2 linked regions of the Xenopus tropicalis genome follow. The main gene of each other region encodes a partner of the protein of the gene in region 2 in a complex. Links are inferred from orthologs where the notes say so. Each region holds a gene or a part of one and is shown on either strand. Other genes may lie near its edges.

What was found.
Region 1: the proteins of rasip1 (region 2) and rap1b are in contact, whole or in part, in a crystal structure (PDB 5KHO), measured with the Homo sapiens proteins. The link is inferred for Xenopus tropicalis from reciprocal best matches to the Homo sapiens genes RASIP1 and RAP1B. Residues at the interface, in NP_060275.2 of Homo sapiens: Val147, Lys149, Ala156, Ser157, Gly158, Ala159, Asn160, Tyr161, Lys162, Ser163, Val164, Leu165, Glu181, Arg182; in NP_001010942.1 of Homo sapiens: Val24, Gln25, Asp33, Pro34, Thr35, Ile36, Glu37, Asp38, Ser39, Tyr40, Arg41, Glu54, Leu56, Phe64.

What each region holds. Positions count from the first base shown.
Region 1 is NC_030679.2:58,772,957-58,781,007, reverse strand, and holds the start of rap1b (ras-related protein Rap-1b precursor), read right to left. Parts: upstream 4,290-8,051; 5' UTR 4,204-4,289; intron 1-4,203. UniProt on the Homo sapiens protein: GTP-binding protein that possesses intrinsic GTPase activity. Contributes to the polarizing activity of KRIT1 and CDH5 in the establishment and maintenance of correct endothelial cell polarity and vascular lumen.
Region 2 is NC_030683.2:105,702,892-105,710,290, forward strand, and holds part of rasip1 (ras-interacting protein 1), read right to left. Parts: intron 6,670-7,399; exon of another isoform or gene 6,543-6,669; coding exon of another isoform or gene 6,535-6,542; intron 3,490-6,534; coding exon 2,906-3,489; intron 1-2,905. UniProt on the Homo sapiens protein: Required for the proper formation of vascular structures that develop via both vasculogenesis and angiogenesis.

The sequences.
Region 1 (8,051 bases), on a different chromosome or scaffold from region 2:
AAGCATTGCACTGTTTTGTTGCACTATGAACAAGCACTGAACACATAAAAGCATGTTGCATTTAAAGGAGAAGGAAAGGCTAAGTCACTTGGGGATGCCAAAATGTTAGGCACCCCAAGTGACTTTAATCGCTTACCTTGTACCCTGTGCTGGTGCCCCTGTTAGGAGAAAACAGCACCAGCCCGTGGGTACCTTGATCGAGCGTTTCCTTCTTCCTCTTTCTTCTGCCGGCGCATGCGTATTAAGAGTGAAAAGCCGACTTTCTTGTTAAAGTTTGGCTTTTCACTCTACTGCGCATGCCCAAGCGCGAGAAACAGGAAGAAGGAAACGCTCGCAGGTCCCCCGGGCTGGTGCTGTTCTCTCCTAACAGGGGCACCAGCCCCGGGAAAAAGGTAAGCGATTTAAGTCAATTGGGGGTGCATAACATTTTGGCACCCCCAAGTGACTAAGCCTTTTCTCCTTTAAAACAAAAACAGTGTAATAGCTGTGCTAAAATACAGATCTGGATGTAAGTGTATACAATAAGATAAAATTAAAAATCGGTTCATTTGTGTTTTGGTGCACATAAAGAGTGACAAGGATGGCCGACAGTATGCCTAAAGTCAATGTCTAATGTACTGATCATTGCTATGAAGCCTGGTCCATACAGTGGAATATCTGGAATACTTGCTAATAACACTAACACCTAAGTTACTGAGCACTGAGTGTCTTCCTTATACTTTTTTGATTAATGCAGGGCCTCCAATGCCATTTATCTTTGGAGCAACCACTGAATCCATTTCACAGATATCATAAAAACACTGACCTCCAGCAAATTACATCAAAGAAAGGCTAAATGACTGGAGTAATCTACATAATTTAGCAAGAAAATAGACCCATATATAGATATATACAATATTTTTTCTTTAAGACTAATGGAAATAATCCAAGTGGTTGAAGTGAAATTTACAGCTTACTACACCTTACTGAAGTTTGTCATAAAGCATGTTTTAAACATTGCTGAAAAAAACAACACTTCTCTAATCTCTCTCAACATTTCTCTAAATCACTAGTGTTTGAGATAATCCTCAACATCCTTTGACAAATGTCAAAATAGATATAATCAGCATAGAATGAAATGGCTGTATCAAAAGACTAAAACACAGAAAGACTTCCAAAGAACGATTTCATCCAGGTTAGCAGTCACTATTGGTAGGTTATAGCTACTTCCTATAAAATTAGGGCAGTGCAAAGGCAGTATGTCAAAAATGTTATAAAAAAAAATAAATAAAGCTGTGTATTTTACATAACTAACATTCTAACACACTAAGTTGTTAATTATTGCCACATTACCAGGTATCATATGGCAGTAATCCTCAACCAATGGCTTGCAAGCAACATGTTGCTCACCAACCCTATGAATGTTACTCCCAGTGGCCTCAAAGCCATGTGTAATGCCAAACAAACCCTCCTGTAGGATGACAGTCTACACAGGGGTTACCAAATAGGCAATCACAGACCTTATTTGGCAACCCCCAGAACATTTTCATGCTTGTGTTGCTCCCTGGCTCTTTTTACATCTGAATGTGGTACACAAGTTTGGGACCTCCACCATATACTACTGCCTAGCAATCAAACAACACAAAAAATGACTATTACCCAAAGGAAATTATTCCATACTGACATTTTTAAAATGCGCATGAACAGTAATGCCTCAATGTCTTTATATAAAGCTCCATGATTAAAGTGAAAGGACACATGGGTTTATTTTTGTAGGAAACCACCCTACAACATTTATTGAAGAGCAAAGAGTGCTTTTGTTTTCTGCTCTTTAATAAATGTTGTAGGGTGGTATCGCACAAAAAAAGTCAATGAGCTCTTTCCATTTATCTGTGGTTCTCCCTGGCTAGAAACAGCTTGGGATGATGAGCAGTAACGTGGAGTTCTGAAGGTGTTTTTTTTTTTTTTTTTTAAGGTAATTGTCACTTTAAATGATTTTAATAGCAGTTGTCACTAGATAAAATAGGCACAAACATTAAATTGTGGCAACAATTACAGAAATGCTTTATCGGTTGGTAACTCACATCACAACTTGAAGGCTTCATGAACCGGTAGTGCACAACAGGAAGCAACCATAATGCTAATCTGATGTTCTCTCTTTACTTCTCAGGCAAGAGAGCTAAATCAATAAAGCCATCTTATTACATTCCCTTTCACAAGTTTTGACTTTACTTGCTTTCACACTTCCACATGCTGTTTTTTCTGCATATGTTGCTTTACTTAAAGGGGTTGTTTACCTTTTAGGTAACTTTTTGTATTGTGTAGAGAGTAATATTCTGAGACAATTTGCATTTGGTCTTCATTTTTTATTATTTAGTTTTTTAATTATTTCAATTTTTCATTCAGCAGTTCTCCAGTTTGGAGTTTCAACAGCTGGTTGCTAGGGTCCAAATTACCTTAGCAACCAGGAAGTGGTTTGAATGAGAGACTGATATATTTATAGGAGAGGACCTGAATTGAAAGATATGTAATATAAATTAACAATTACAATTAACTGCAGCCTCACAAAGTAATAGTTTTTTGCCCACCAGGATCAGTGACCCCCATTCAAAAGCTGCAAAGAGTTAGAAGGCGGCAAATAATTAAAAAACAATAACAAATAAATAATGTAGACTGATTGAAAAGTTGCTTAGAATTGGCTTTCTATAACATACTTAAAGTTAACTTAAAGGTGAACCACCCTTTTAAGCTTTGGAAATGGTGTAATGCAGTGTCTCATTTATATCAGCATTAATAAGGGATATAACTAAACAGTTTAAAATAATATGTGGACATAAACATGACAAGTGAGATACTACTTCCTGATATAACTAGCTGCCCAACACTTTGCAAGCCTGCCCTATTGAGCTAACCAGTCAACTTAACCCTTTCCTTGCAACAGCAATACAAAGCCACACCCCAAGGCCCATTTTGTTAGTTTCATCTGTGGGGTGATTTACAAATGGATCACTCTCTATACAAGAGATATTACTCAACTCGCTTAGTGGCCAGTTTATAGGAACAGAAAACAGCATTTTTCCTTCCCCATACAGACCACAAAAGGGCTGTTCTGATGTGACTACTGCTATCTTTCCTTACGAAAGATTTAGGTGGGGGCTTAATCCTGTTCACCACATTCATAAAGAGTTTAGCTTAAACACAGTATTAACTTAAGGCTATTAACAAAAAGTAATAACATTTCAAGTGTGCATTTATTAGGAATGTTCAACACGTAACCTACATCTCTGGTTAAACTACAAGAACCAAAAATTCTTCTGCTGTTCAAGAATGTTAGTTGCAGTTTAGTGTGGGCAGTATGTTCAATAGCTGAACACAACTGTCATATCTACTGATGGATGAGGTAAAAAAAAAAAATCTTTGTCACCACCCTGCCACCCCCCACACCCAAAAGAACACACACACTTATGTGTGGGATCTAAACAGGATGTTAAGATGTGGCACAGCTATTAGATTAGCCAGTCCCTTATTAGGGTCACCCATAACCAACATCCAACGGTAAAGGCACATGAAGCCCCATTGTCAGCGCTAGCTGTAACTCATACAGTGGACAAAGCAAAGTTTGGCAAACAGCCTGCAAACCTCCACCCCTGTTCTTCACTAAATGAACACATTCAAGGTATACATTCATGGTAATATGCTGTAAATTGGTAGGACATAATAGGAATCCCAGTTTTCTGCCATAAAAGGCATTTTATAATATTTCCAAGAAGGCATGTTGATCAAGGAGCAATCACTGTGACACACTAAACCAAGATCTGTCTGCCTGCGGCTATTTCTGAACGCCAACCCCGTTCCACTGAGAGTATGCTGGGAGTTGTAGTTTATCACATTAGGATCGGTATTTAACTTGCGGATATGGGTGCTGTGACAAGCTATTATCACTTCCATGTGCATTCTGGACACTGCCACAAGTCCGCCTGCACGCCCAAGGTCCACCAAGCGGCAAGTCCGCATCACAGTGCCTACTCTACACTGCCCTCGACTAGCCAATGAGAATTTTCCGCCATTATCCGGGAATATCTAGCACCCAGCCGGCCTCGGTAGAACTGCTGCTTGGGCCGGGCCCTGACTCCTTGCCCCTCTTCCGGCCGGTCATCCAACCCTCGCCCAGCCTTTCGTTTACACAAGCCCTAGTGCCTAAGTTAATTTCCCAGTATCACTGACCCGCTGTCCTCCTTCTCCTGGATGGGCCCCGGCTCTGCCTGGGATCCCCTGCCGCCCGCTTGTCCTCCTCTGCTCGGGACACACAGCGCCACCAACCCAGCCTGGGTGAGGCTCCCAGCTCGCCCGTGACGTCACTGCGCCGCTCTCGCTCTCCGCCGTACGCGCTCCCGGCGCCTTCCAGCTAAGCGCTGACCTGGCCCTTCCCTGGCACGGGCACGCGCATCATGGCTTCTCTTACCCGAGTCCCACCGACAAACCTTTGGCTGCCCGATGTGGCCGCTGTGCAACCTGTTGTGGCCAAAGGATTGATGGGCTCCAACGAAGGCTATAAACAGTTACATTTAGAAGCTGATTTGTGCTCTGTTAATAAGGGGAACATGTTCTGCTTCTAAACACTAGATTATATTTCTATAGGTACGATAAATATATGAAAATTAGACACATGGTTTTCAGATATAATTGTAGACTTAAATTACAAGTAATACGCAGGGACGCTTTGCTGGTTGTTTATCAATGCGACACGATCGGCTGTATAGGGGTATGATATGCCACACCCACTCTGTATAAACGAGCTACTATCGGGATTATGTTTGTGTGAAGCTGCTGTGAGCGCCTGTATAGCATGACCGGGGGTGTAATTACAGTGGAAGCCGAATGTACAATTGCTGGGGCACTTACCGATGAGCTGGTTATTAGAAATGTCTTATTACCACTGTGCTGGGGCCCAGTAACATCAAATTACACCACTGTCCCTAACCAGATGGGATATAGGGTAACAAAAGGAAGAACAGTTGGAACCATACCTGTGTAACTCAGGCGTTACCTAAATTTAAAGGAGACATATTGGATATATGGGAAAAACCCTAATTTTGTAGGCAATTATGAATAATATATGGTGCTGGTTTCCCTTTGGGCTAAACATTAATCCTATCTGTAATAATGGCCCCTTTATTGGAGCTCCCTATAGATCCTATCCCTTCTCCTAACGGTCCCTGCCAGAAGCACAGTAGGAGGGGGCATAGCCAATCACAGCCCTGCAGTCACACAAGCACAGACAGGCTTCAGTTCCCTATCAGGTCAGCCTAGCTGCTGATTGGTTCCTATCCTCTGTAGTGTACTGAGATCCGCCAGCTTATCCAGAGAATTCAGCCAGCAGGAAGTGGAGCGGATGGACGGGACTAGTGGGGTTTTGGTGGAATTTCTCAATAAATCAGTCTGAAACACAACTTTTTTCAGCACATTCCTTCTATATCTAGAGCAGTATAATTTACTGGTACATTCATCATTTTTATAGGATATGTTTCCTTTAAGGTAAAAAAAAAAATTGCGGAAATTTTTTATGCATGTGTGAGTGCCTGTTAATATTATGTTTTTTTGTTTTTATTAACTATGAAATATGTTCATGATATATACTTTACATTCGTTTATGTTAAATCCTTAAATTCTTTCCTTCAGGATGGGCCACCAACATTCGCTGATGTGATCCTCTGGTGCCAGTGGCAGATCTATAGCATATTGTATACAATGTGTCTATATTTGTTGCATTTATTTAGTTACATAGTTACATAGGGTTGAAAAAAGACCAGTGTCCATCAAGTTCAACCCATCCAAGTAAACCCAGCACACACAACCCACACCTACCAATCTATACACTCACATACATAAACTATATATACAACCACTAGTACTAACTGTAGATATTAGTATCACAATAGCCTTGGATATTCTGATTGTTCAAGAACTCATCCAGGCCCCTCTTAAAGGCATTAACAGAATCTGCCATTACCACATCACTAGGAAGGGCATTCCACAACCTCACTGCCCTCACCGTGAAAAACCACCTACACTGCTTCAAATGGAAGCTCCGTTCCTCTAATCTAAAGGGGTGACCTCTGGTGCGTTGATTGTTTTTATGGGAAAAAAGAACACCCCCCATCTGCCTATAATCCCCTCTAATGTACTTGTACAGAGTAATCATGTCCCCTTGCAAGCGCCTCTTTTCCAGAGAAAACAACCTCAACCTCGACAGTCTCACCTCATAGTTTAAATCTTCCATCCCCTTTACCAGTTTAGTTGCACGTCTCTGCACTCTCTCCAGCTCATTAATATCCTTCTTAAGGACTGGAGCCCAAAACTGCACTGCATACTCAAGGTGAGGCCTTACCAGGGACCTATAAAGGGGCAAAATTATGTTCTTATCCCTTGAGTCAATGCCCTTTTTTAAGACAGCACTTTATTTGCTTTAGTAGCCACAGAATTACACTGCCTGGAATTAGACAACTTGTTATCAACAAAAACCCCTAGATCCTTCTCCATTAAGGAAACCCCCAACACACTACCATTCAGTAGATAGTTTGCGTTTATATTATTCCTACCAAAATGCATAACTTTGCACTTATTAACATTGAACCTCATTTTCCAGTTTGCTGCCCAGTTTTCTAATTTTGTCAAATTGCTCTGCAAAGCGGCAGCATCCTGCATGGAACTTATAGTTTTGCACAATTTTGTGTCATCAGCAAAAATAGAAACAGTACTCTCTATGCCCTCCTCCAGGTCATTAATAAACAAGTTAAAAAGCAAAGGACCAAGGACTGACCCCTGCGGTACTCCACTAACCACACTGGTCCAATTAGAAAATGTTCCATTTACAACCACTCTTTGTAATCTATCCTTCAGCCAGTTCTCTATCCAATTACAAATATTATGTTCTAGGCCAATATTCCTTAATTTGATCATTAACCTTCTGTGAGGTACTGTATCAAACGCTTTAGCAAAGTCCAAGTAGATGACATCAACTGCCATTCCAGCATCGAGGTTCCTACTCACCTCCTCATAAAAGGCGACTAAATTAGTCTGGCAAGATCTGTTACGCATAAAACCATGCTGGCACAAACTAATAGTATTGTGAACTGCAATGTATTCAACTATCCTATCCCTTATTACCTCTTCCAAAATTTTTCCTACTACTGATGTCAGACTAACAGGCCTATAGTTTTCAGGCTGAGAACGGGATCCCTTTTTAAATAACGGCACCACATTAGCAATCCGCCAATCTCTCGGCACCATGCCAGACCTCAATGAATCCTGAAAAATTAAGTGAAGAGGTTTGGCAATCACAGCGCTCAGCTCATTTAATACCCTGGGATGAATCCCATCTGGCCCTGGACCTTTGTTTACCTTTACATGTTCAAGTCTCTTTTGAATTTCCTCCCGAGTGACCCATGCGTCAGTAGCTAAATTACTAGAACTGGGCATATTAAAAGGGAAGCTTTCATTATCTGGCTCCTCAGATGTATAGACAGATGAAAAATAAAGAGTTCAAAATTTCAGCTTTTTCCCCGTTCTCATCAACCAACTTACCCCCCCCCCCCCGTGATAATAAGGTTCCCACCCCTTCTTGCTTAATTTTTTTTACTATTCACATAATTAAAAAATAATTTTGGATTCTTTTTACTCCTAGCTGCAATATCCCTTTCCATTTCTATTTTAGCTTGCTTGATAGCTTTTTTGCATGCTTTATTTGCTTCCTTGTACCTGATGAAAGTTTCCGCTGTCCCAGCTAACTTGAATGCCCTAAAAGCACGTTTTTTCTTACCAACCTCGACACTAACACTTTTATTCAGCCATAAAGGTTTTGCTTTGCGATGCCTCTCCTTGCTTACAAGGGGGATATACTGTTGCGTATACCTGCAAAACAATGTTTTAAAGATGTTCCATTTTCCTTCTGTGTCTAACCCCATGAAAAGCCTTTACCAGTTGACACATTGCAGAGATGCCCTTATACTGGCAAAGTCTGCACGTCTAAAATTGAGCGTTTTAGTTACTCCCTTATAGAGCTGTCTCTGCAG
Region 2 (7,399 bases):
ATGCATTAGATAGGCATGTTTGTAGGGAGGTTTCAAAGCAGAAGAAAAGTGTCATTAGAGTAATAAAGAAGATGATTAGCAAAGTATTTAGAGATATGAAGTTTTCATGTAAGATGGGACATTGCTGAAAAGTTATTTATAAGGCTGAGATATGAGTTTACCCCACTGAGTGTGGATCTGGGGTAGTGATATGCCAAAGAGTGCAGCAGAGGATGAATATAGGGGTTGAGTAAGAGTGAGTGAGAAACAAGGCTCTAATGCTCCAATAAATGTCTTAAAGGGACACTGACATGAAAAAACTACTTTTTAAATTATGAATCTACATAAAAAGTTCCCTATAGGTCATGTTGATAATTTTTTGCTGATAGGGCTGCTTTGGTAAGTAATTGTTACGTGAAGTTCCTAAACCTGACTATTTTGCCAACCTGACTGTCCCTTCTCAGCCTGTCAGTTATAGCTTCTAATGCTAACAGCCTCCTGCAGCACAAATATGGCCGCCCCCTCATAAAGGAACACGGGGGATCAGATAAGTAATGGAAACGCATTGGGGAAATACTTTTATGGCAAAACTATAAATAGCATGCAAAGACAATGTTATGAAAGATGTAAAAAATTTTCATTTCTAGTGTCAGTATCTCTTTAATGTTTCATCTTCAAAAGAGGTGAAAAACATGGCTAGATCTACGCAATATTAGAATATCTAAAAAAAAAAGTGGGAGAAGAGACCTTGCTGAATGGTTAATCTGGTCCAAATCAAGGTGTGGAGCCTTCAATCTAAACACAATTGTGCTGAGAGATTACGGAACTCCTTCTGGACCATACCTCATGCTGGAATCATTTCCTTTTTAGTGTAAGGCAACTGTTCTTTTCCTGGAAAGGAACTGCTCACAGCATGACGTATGGGCTAAAAAATGCCATGCCATTCTGCGCAAAAGCTATGACATCACTCAATAGGTGGGGTGTTACACACATTCTAAGATCCACTGAACTGATTTGGGTCTGCCTTCACAATAACAGCTAATGGTCAAGAATAGGATACAAATCAAATACCAACTAGGAAATAGCCAAGTAGACTTTAGGACTAATAGCTTTTAACAAGGAATAAACTGTGGGCGCCTTAACTCCCATCACACCCTGCTGACTGTGATCTTGACCCATGCTTTACCGACTGGATGATATAGAAATGACATAGTATGGGGGCGTCCTTATAACAGGCACCTTTTCTCTGCTTTAGAGCTAATAATGTAGCATGCCTTGTGTTCCCTGGCCCAGACATGGCCCTTCAAGCAATTTTAATGGCCAAGTTGAAATGCTCAGATTATTCTTTGTGCAACATCAATATTTTAATATAATGTGGCCCAATATGTGGTGTGGGAATTAACTAACCAAATGCTTAGTGACTGGGCTCATTGGGGAGTGTCTAACATTAACACCCCTCAGTGAATTTGGCTTTCCTTGTTCTTTAAGGGTTTCCATTGGGTGGTTTCCCAATGTGGTTTAGGCTTAGCATAATCTCAAATAATTTTCCCAGTGGAAAGTTAAAAAAAGTTATTACAGGGTGTTTATTAGAGAGAGTTATCATTTTAGATGATACTCTGTAACTAAGGACTGATAGTGGATGAGAACAAGGGTGGTGCGTTGTTACACAGTAGCCCAGGCCAGTGCATTTTTATCCTAAAAGGAGTAACCACCCAGGGGAAAAAGTTTAATTCACTGATGAGAACATCACATATTGGCAACCCCCAGCAAATTGTCCATTACAGTGTCATAAACACTAACTCTAACACCTTTTAGAAACAAAAACTTTACTATTAATTAAAGAGGCATTCATTGTAATTCAATGGCTATATAACATAAACAAGTGCAAATTCAAATATGATTTATGGCCCTGAAACTTTGAATAATTGAAACTTAGAATGAGATTTAAGTGCTAATGAAGGCTTCTGCCATTGCCATTAATAACGGAAATCCAAGTTGGATTCTGTTGAAGTCCCATGCAGCAGACCCTGAGGCTGCAGTGGGGCCTGGGCTTCCAGGGTCTGTAGTATGGTATTCCCCATCCCCAGCCTCTTTTTCTCCTCTTTTTCTCCTCTTCTCCTCCTTTGCCCGTTGCAAATGAGTGATCAGCTCAGCTATCATGTTGTCTAAACAATGGTCTACATGGCATAGTGTGTTTAATAGAGATTAAGGGCAATGGTGTGATTTCCAATTCTATTGGTGGCAAAATTTCTCTTCCATTGATCATGATCCTGCTGCTGCCCCCATGGAGCAGGTGATTATTGCTCCTAAACATGAGCAGAGTACAGGTCATTTGCAGGTTTTTTTTATGCCTGCCACCAAGCTGGAAATAGTGAAGGGTAAACCCAGACAAATGCGCTGTAATGCAAGCAGTAACACAAGCATTCGGATGAATGTGCAATGAACCCAAACATTTAATAAATCTTCATTCCCTAAATATAACTTTGGCTCAGTTTTGTGCAATAATAACGTAGGAAAAAGAAAGGCATGTAATCTCAATCACTTTCTAGCATTTTCTTTTAAAGGATAAGTATTACCTATTCCAACCTTACAGCTGTCCTGGCGTGAAGGGGTGGATCTGAGGTTTCTTTGAGATGACTCATTCATAAGTTATTGCTGTTGCAAGAAAGTATTAATAGCTTTGTCGCTTGTAGTGTTTCAGCGTTTAGGTTAGGAAATAAACCTGAATCAAATGCATTACAACTGCCACATTAAACCATTTCTAAAATATATCTACACTGTGCCTTGTGAAAGCATTCAGCCCCACCCAACTCTCTCATTTCACTGAATAATAAATCCTACACTGAAATGTAGTAGCTAGATGCATCTGTAGGTACAGTGATTTTATTTTATTTATTTATATTTTGTTAATAAAAGCCCAACCAACCTGCCGTTTCATTATCCTCAGCCATGGTCATCTTCTCCACCTCTTGCTTGCGCCTGATTTCAAAGCGCCGAGAGAACCCAGTTTTGGGCTTCCACATTTCTTGCAATACTAGAGGACGTTCATTGTCCCCAACAACGCGCAGGTACTCCATCTTCCATTCCCCTTCAAGCCCCACAAAGCGCCCCACCACATCGCACAGGACAAAGACTTCTGTTTCGGAATCGGCCACTGCATATCTCTCTAGGGCCTCTTTCACTAGTTCCTCTGCAGAGGAACGTGGCGTAGCCAAAACACTCTTATAGTTAGTCCCAGAAGAAATATCATCTCCAAATATTTTCAGGATACCAGGTAAGTTTTTTTGACTGGACAGCTCCACCAAGTCCTCTGGTACTGTGTCGATAATTTCCGACAATTTCTTTTCACTGACCCAGCGTCCCGTCCCGCTACTGATGCTGCCAGCAATGCTATTGGTGCTGCGGTGGAAAAGGTTGGACAGGCGCTTGTGGCGGTTATTTTTGTTCTTTGTGGGTTGACGCAGTTCCACAGTCTCATTGTTGCGGCTAGTTGTGTCTGAAGATGTAGACCTGTAAGAAAGGGAGCTGGAGTCAATCACGGACTGAAGGTGAAAAATAATGGACTAAAATGTGACAAATTATTTGCACTATAAAAGGCTACATTTCCTCCATTGTATATGCACAATACATGAGAAATAACACACAACTTTAACATTTTTGTGCCATTGTCCTTCAAAATCTGTAATGAAAGCTCAATAGCATGGAAATTCGTGCATTTCGTGCAATTAGACAACATGAAAGGCCACATTGCACTGATCCACAACCTCATATTATTTTCAAATGGTCAGGACCTGACATGTGCAATGTGTGCTACTGCTCAATAAATATTGCATATCCTCACCATAGGGTTGATTCACTAAAGTGCGATAACGCATATCGCATGCTTTTTTTGCGTTAAAATTGACGCATGCGTTAAGTTGCATATTGCATGCGTTAATTTTACCGCATTGCGTTAATTAGTGCGCAGAAATAACACTAACGCATGATTCACAAACACTTAAATATCGCATTACTTTATGTGAAAATTAACACCTACTTGGGGCAGGCGGTAATTATAGAAAAGTACAGTTAATGAGCTTTTGGCAAAACAATATGGACTTTGCAGTGGGATTTATTCAAGTCTGTGTTGGCCCTAGAGTGACGCAGCCTCCATTTTGCAGGGAAATGTTAATTTTTAAAAAAAAAGTAGTTTTCCTAACATAATGGTGTATACGGCTAATATGGCGTGCGCGCCATAACTAGCGCACGTACGTTAATTAGCATGCGTTGCGTCGAATACCGCACGAAAATAGTCTTCGCGACTTAAATAACGCAAACAGCATCGTGTATAAATTAACGCAAATATACTTTTAGTGAATCGTGCATTAAGACGCGAAAAATTAGACGCAATAAAATTTTTACCGCATGCTATAAATAGCACTCGAAATATCGACCTTTAGTGAATCAACCCTCATGTCTTTTATAGCGCAAGAGACTGTAAGTTCTTATCTAGATGCCATTGGTGCCAGCATGTGGTGAACAGAACATCACCAATCAGAAATCTAGTTTAAAGGGGTGGTTCAACTTTAAGTTAACTTTATGTATGTTATATAATGTCCTATTCCTAGCAACTTTGCCATTGGTCTTCATTATTCTTTTTTTTTTTTTTTTTATAGTTTTCTTAAGTTATTTACCTTTCTTTTTTGCTTTCAAATGGGGGTCACCGACCCCAGCAGCCAAAAACTATTCCTCTGTGAGGCTACAATTTTATTGTTATTGTTACTTTTTATTTCTTATCTCCCTATTTCAGTGCTCCACAACCCATGGCTTATGTGCAACATGTTGCTCACCACCCCTTTTAATGTTGCTCCCAGTGGCATCAAAGCAGGTGCCCATTTTTAAATCTCTGATTTGGAGGAAAGATTTGGAATTTCATAGACACAGTTTTACTCCAAGCAGAGCCCCCTGCAGGCCAGCAGGCCAGCAGCCCACATAGGGCTACCAAATAGCCAATCACAGCCCTTATTTAGAACCCTAAAGGAACGTTTTTCATGCTTTTGTAGCTCTCCAACACTTTACATCTGCGTGTGGCTTTTGAGTAAAAAAGGTTGTGGATACCCGAGAACCTAAGTAGTCCTTTGCCTATTCATATTCCAGTCTCTTATTCAAATCACAGCCTGGATGCTAGGGTAAATAAGACCCTAGCAACCAGATAGCTGTTGAAATACCAAACTGGGAGAGCTGCCTAACTAAAAGCTAAATAACTGAAAAACCACAAAAAATGAGGACCAATAGCAAATTGTTTCAGAATATCAACATCTACATCATACTAAAATTTTAAGTAAAGGTGAAACATGTTTTATTTATAGTTTATAGCTTTTTATCATACGGTATTACACAGATTTAGTTGTTTAGTTGCTCTCCCTAAATATTAGATTACTGATCTCTTGGGTCACTTGGTGTAATTGCTTAATGGAATTGCTGCCCTGTAATCCAATAATCAATGACCAAATACATGTACCAATAGGGTCATCAGATTTCCCAGTTTCCCCTTTTGTCCAATAAACATTTTTACAATTGCAATAGAATTTGATGATCACACTGTTATGTTTATTAATGACCCCATTGTATGAAGTGACAAGCCCATGTTATGTCAGCTTTAGCCCCCCAATCTATATATTTCTATATTAGAAACCAGTGCAGGTATTGCTGAATTCCAGCACTATAACAGACCGTAGATGTGAGTATGAATGAGCAGCCGTGTTTTGTATTATTATACTTCTGCATTACATCAACTGCATCTGATTTCTTTGAAGTTGAATAAAAAAAACCTATTCTATTCCACAGGGATGCGCTTATTTCCATTCTACAGAAGGATTTTGTTATTTAGCTGCAACAGCATTCGTAGCCCGGGCTGCAGGGGACTGTTTAGACAGTCTTTGTTGTATAACCATGCTATGCAAACATCTATCCCATCAGCCATTTGTTCCAGAATGTTCCTTAGAACTACTGAACTCTTTTATATTGTCAGCCCTTTGGAATGTTCCTGTTGCTACACCTGGTAGTGTCTGGTAGCACACGGGTGGTAAAGAACTTACCAAACACTATGAACAAATCTCTGTGTTTATGGCTGAACAGCTGACAAAAGACATTTCAGCTGAAACCTGATTTCCTATCCAGCAACTGACGGGACCCCTAATATGCATGTTAGTTCCATGCCAAAACTCAGAAATGACTAAGGCTCACAAATATTCCAAAGCCCCATTAAAGAATATTCTTATTTACAGGCCCGGACTGGCAATCTGTGGTTTCTGGCAAATGCCAGAGGGGCTGCAATAAGTTGCCATAGACAGTCACTATTTATTGGGCCTCTGTGTACTTTAGCCCTTACTTGACGGGGCTGGGAATTCTGGGAAATATACAGCTGACACCTATACACATATAACCTTTATTGAGGACACAGCTATATAAGAGAATTTTTCTGTGGAATGTGTAAAGCATCTCTTGAATCTGCCTGTATTTCTATACTTTTAACGACTGGCGAAAATGATATAGCTCAAACTCCTAGGTACCTACCCTCCCATTTCCTACCATTCCAATATCTGTCATGTGACCAGGCGACAGGATGGAGGGATGGGAAATGTAACCCAGCTCGACCACTGTCCCAGCTCCCAGCACACACATTAAAAATATCAACACAGAAGGGGAGGCCTATGAGTAGAGCAAAGAGAAAAATATCTTACAATACTGTATATCTATATCTGTATATATAAGCATCATCAATGCAGGCAGGCTTTTAGTTCAAAGGACAGCATTATGGCAATGTGCTATTAGTAGGACATCCATTGTTTCCATTGAATGTAGCAAGGCTGCTACCATGTCAGAGGGCTAGGTAAAACCAAACCTTGGTAATGGGCCACAACAGCAAAAACCTGAAGATGCCATTTTTTAGATAGACTGATTAAAGTTTATAGAAGAACTAAGGGGTTCTAAGTTTTGAGGTTCAGAGGAAATCACAGCCCTTTACCAGGGAAGATCTGTGCCCCCAAAGATGCCCCAGTAGCTCCCCATCTTCTTTTCTGCTGATTCACTGTACATGCTCTGTGCTGCTGTCACTTATATACACAATATAACAGTCATTTTATTAGGCTAATTATTAAGTAATTCATATACTCATTACATGGCAGCTCAGAAACCAGAGCAATCTGCATCAGAATTTAATACTCAGCCCTAAGCTTAGTTTTTCAGCAGCTGCTCAGAGCACACTGAGCATGTGCAGTGTCACAGACACTTCTAAAGATGGGGAGCTCCTGTGCACAACTTTCAAGGCATGGATCATTACTATTATAGAGATGCTAAGCCTTTAGACTGGTTAGCTAACCCCAGTAGCACCCAGCTACTGGAGATGATTCAGTGGTACATATTGAAGGCTTAGTAAGGA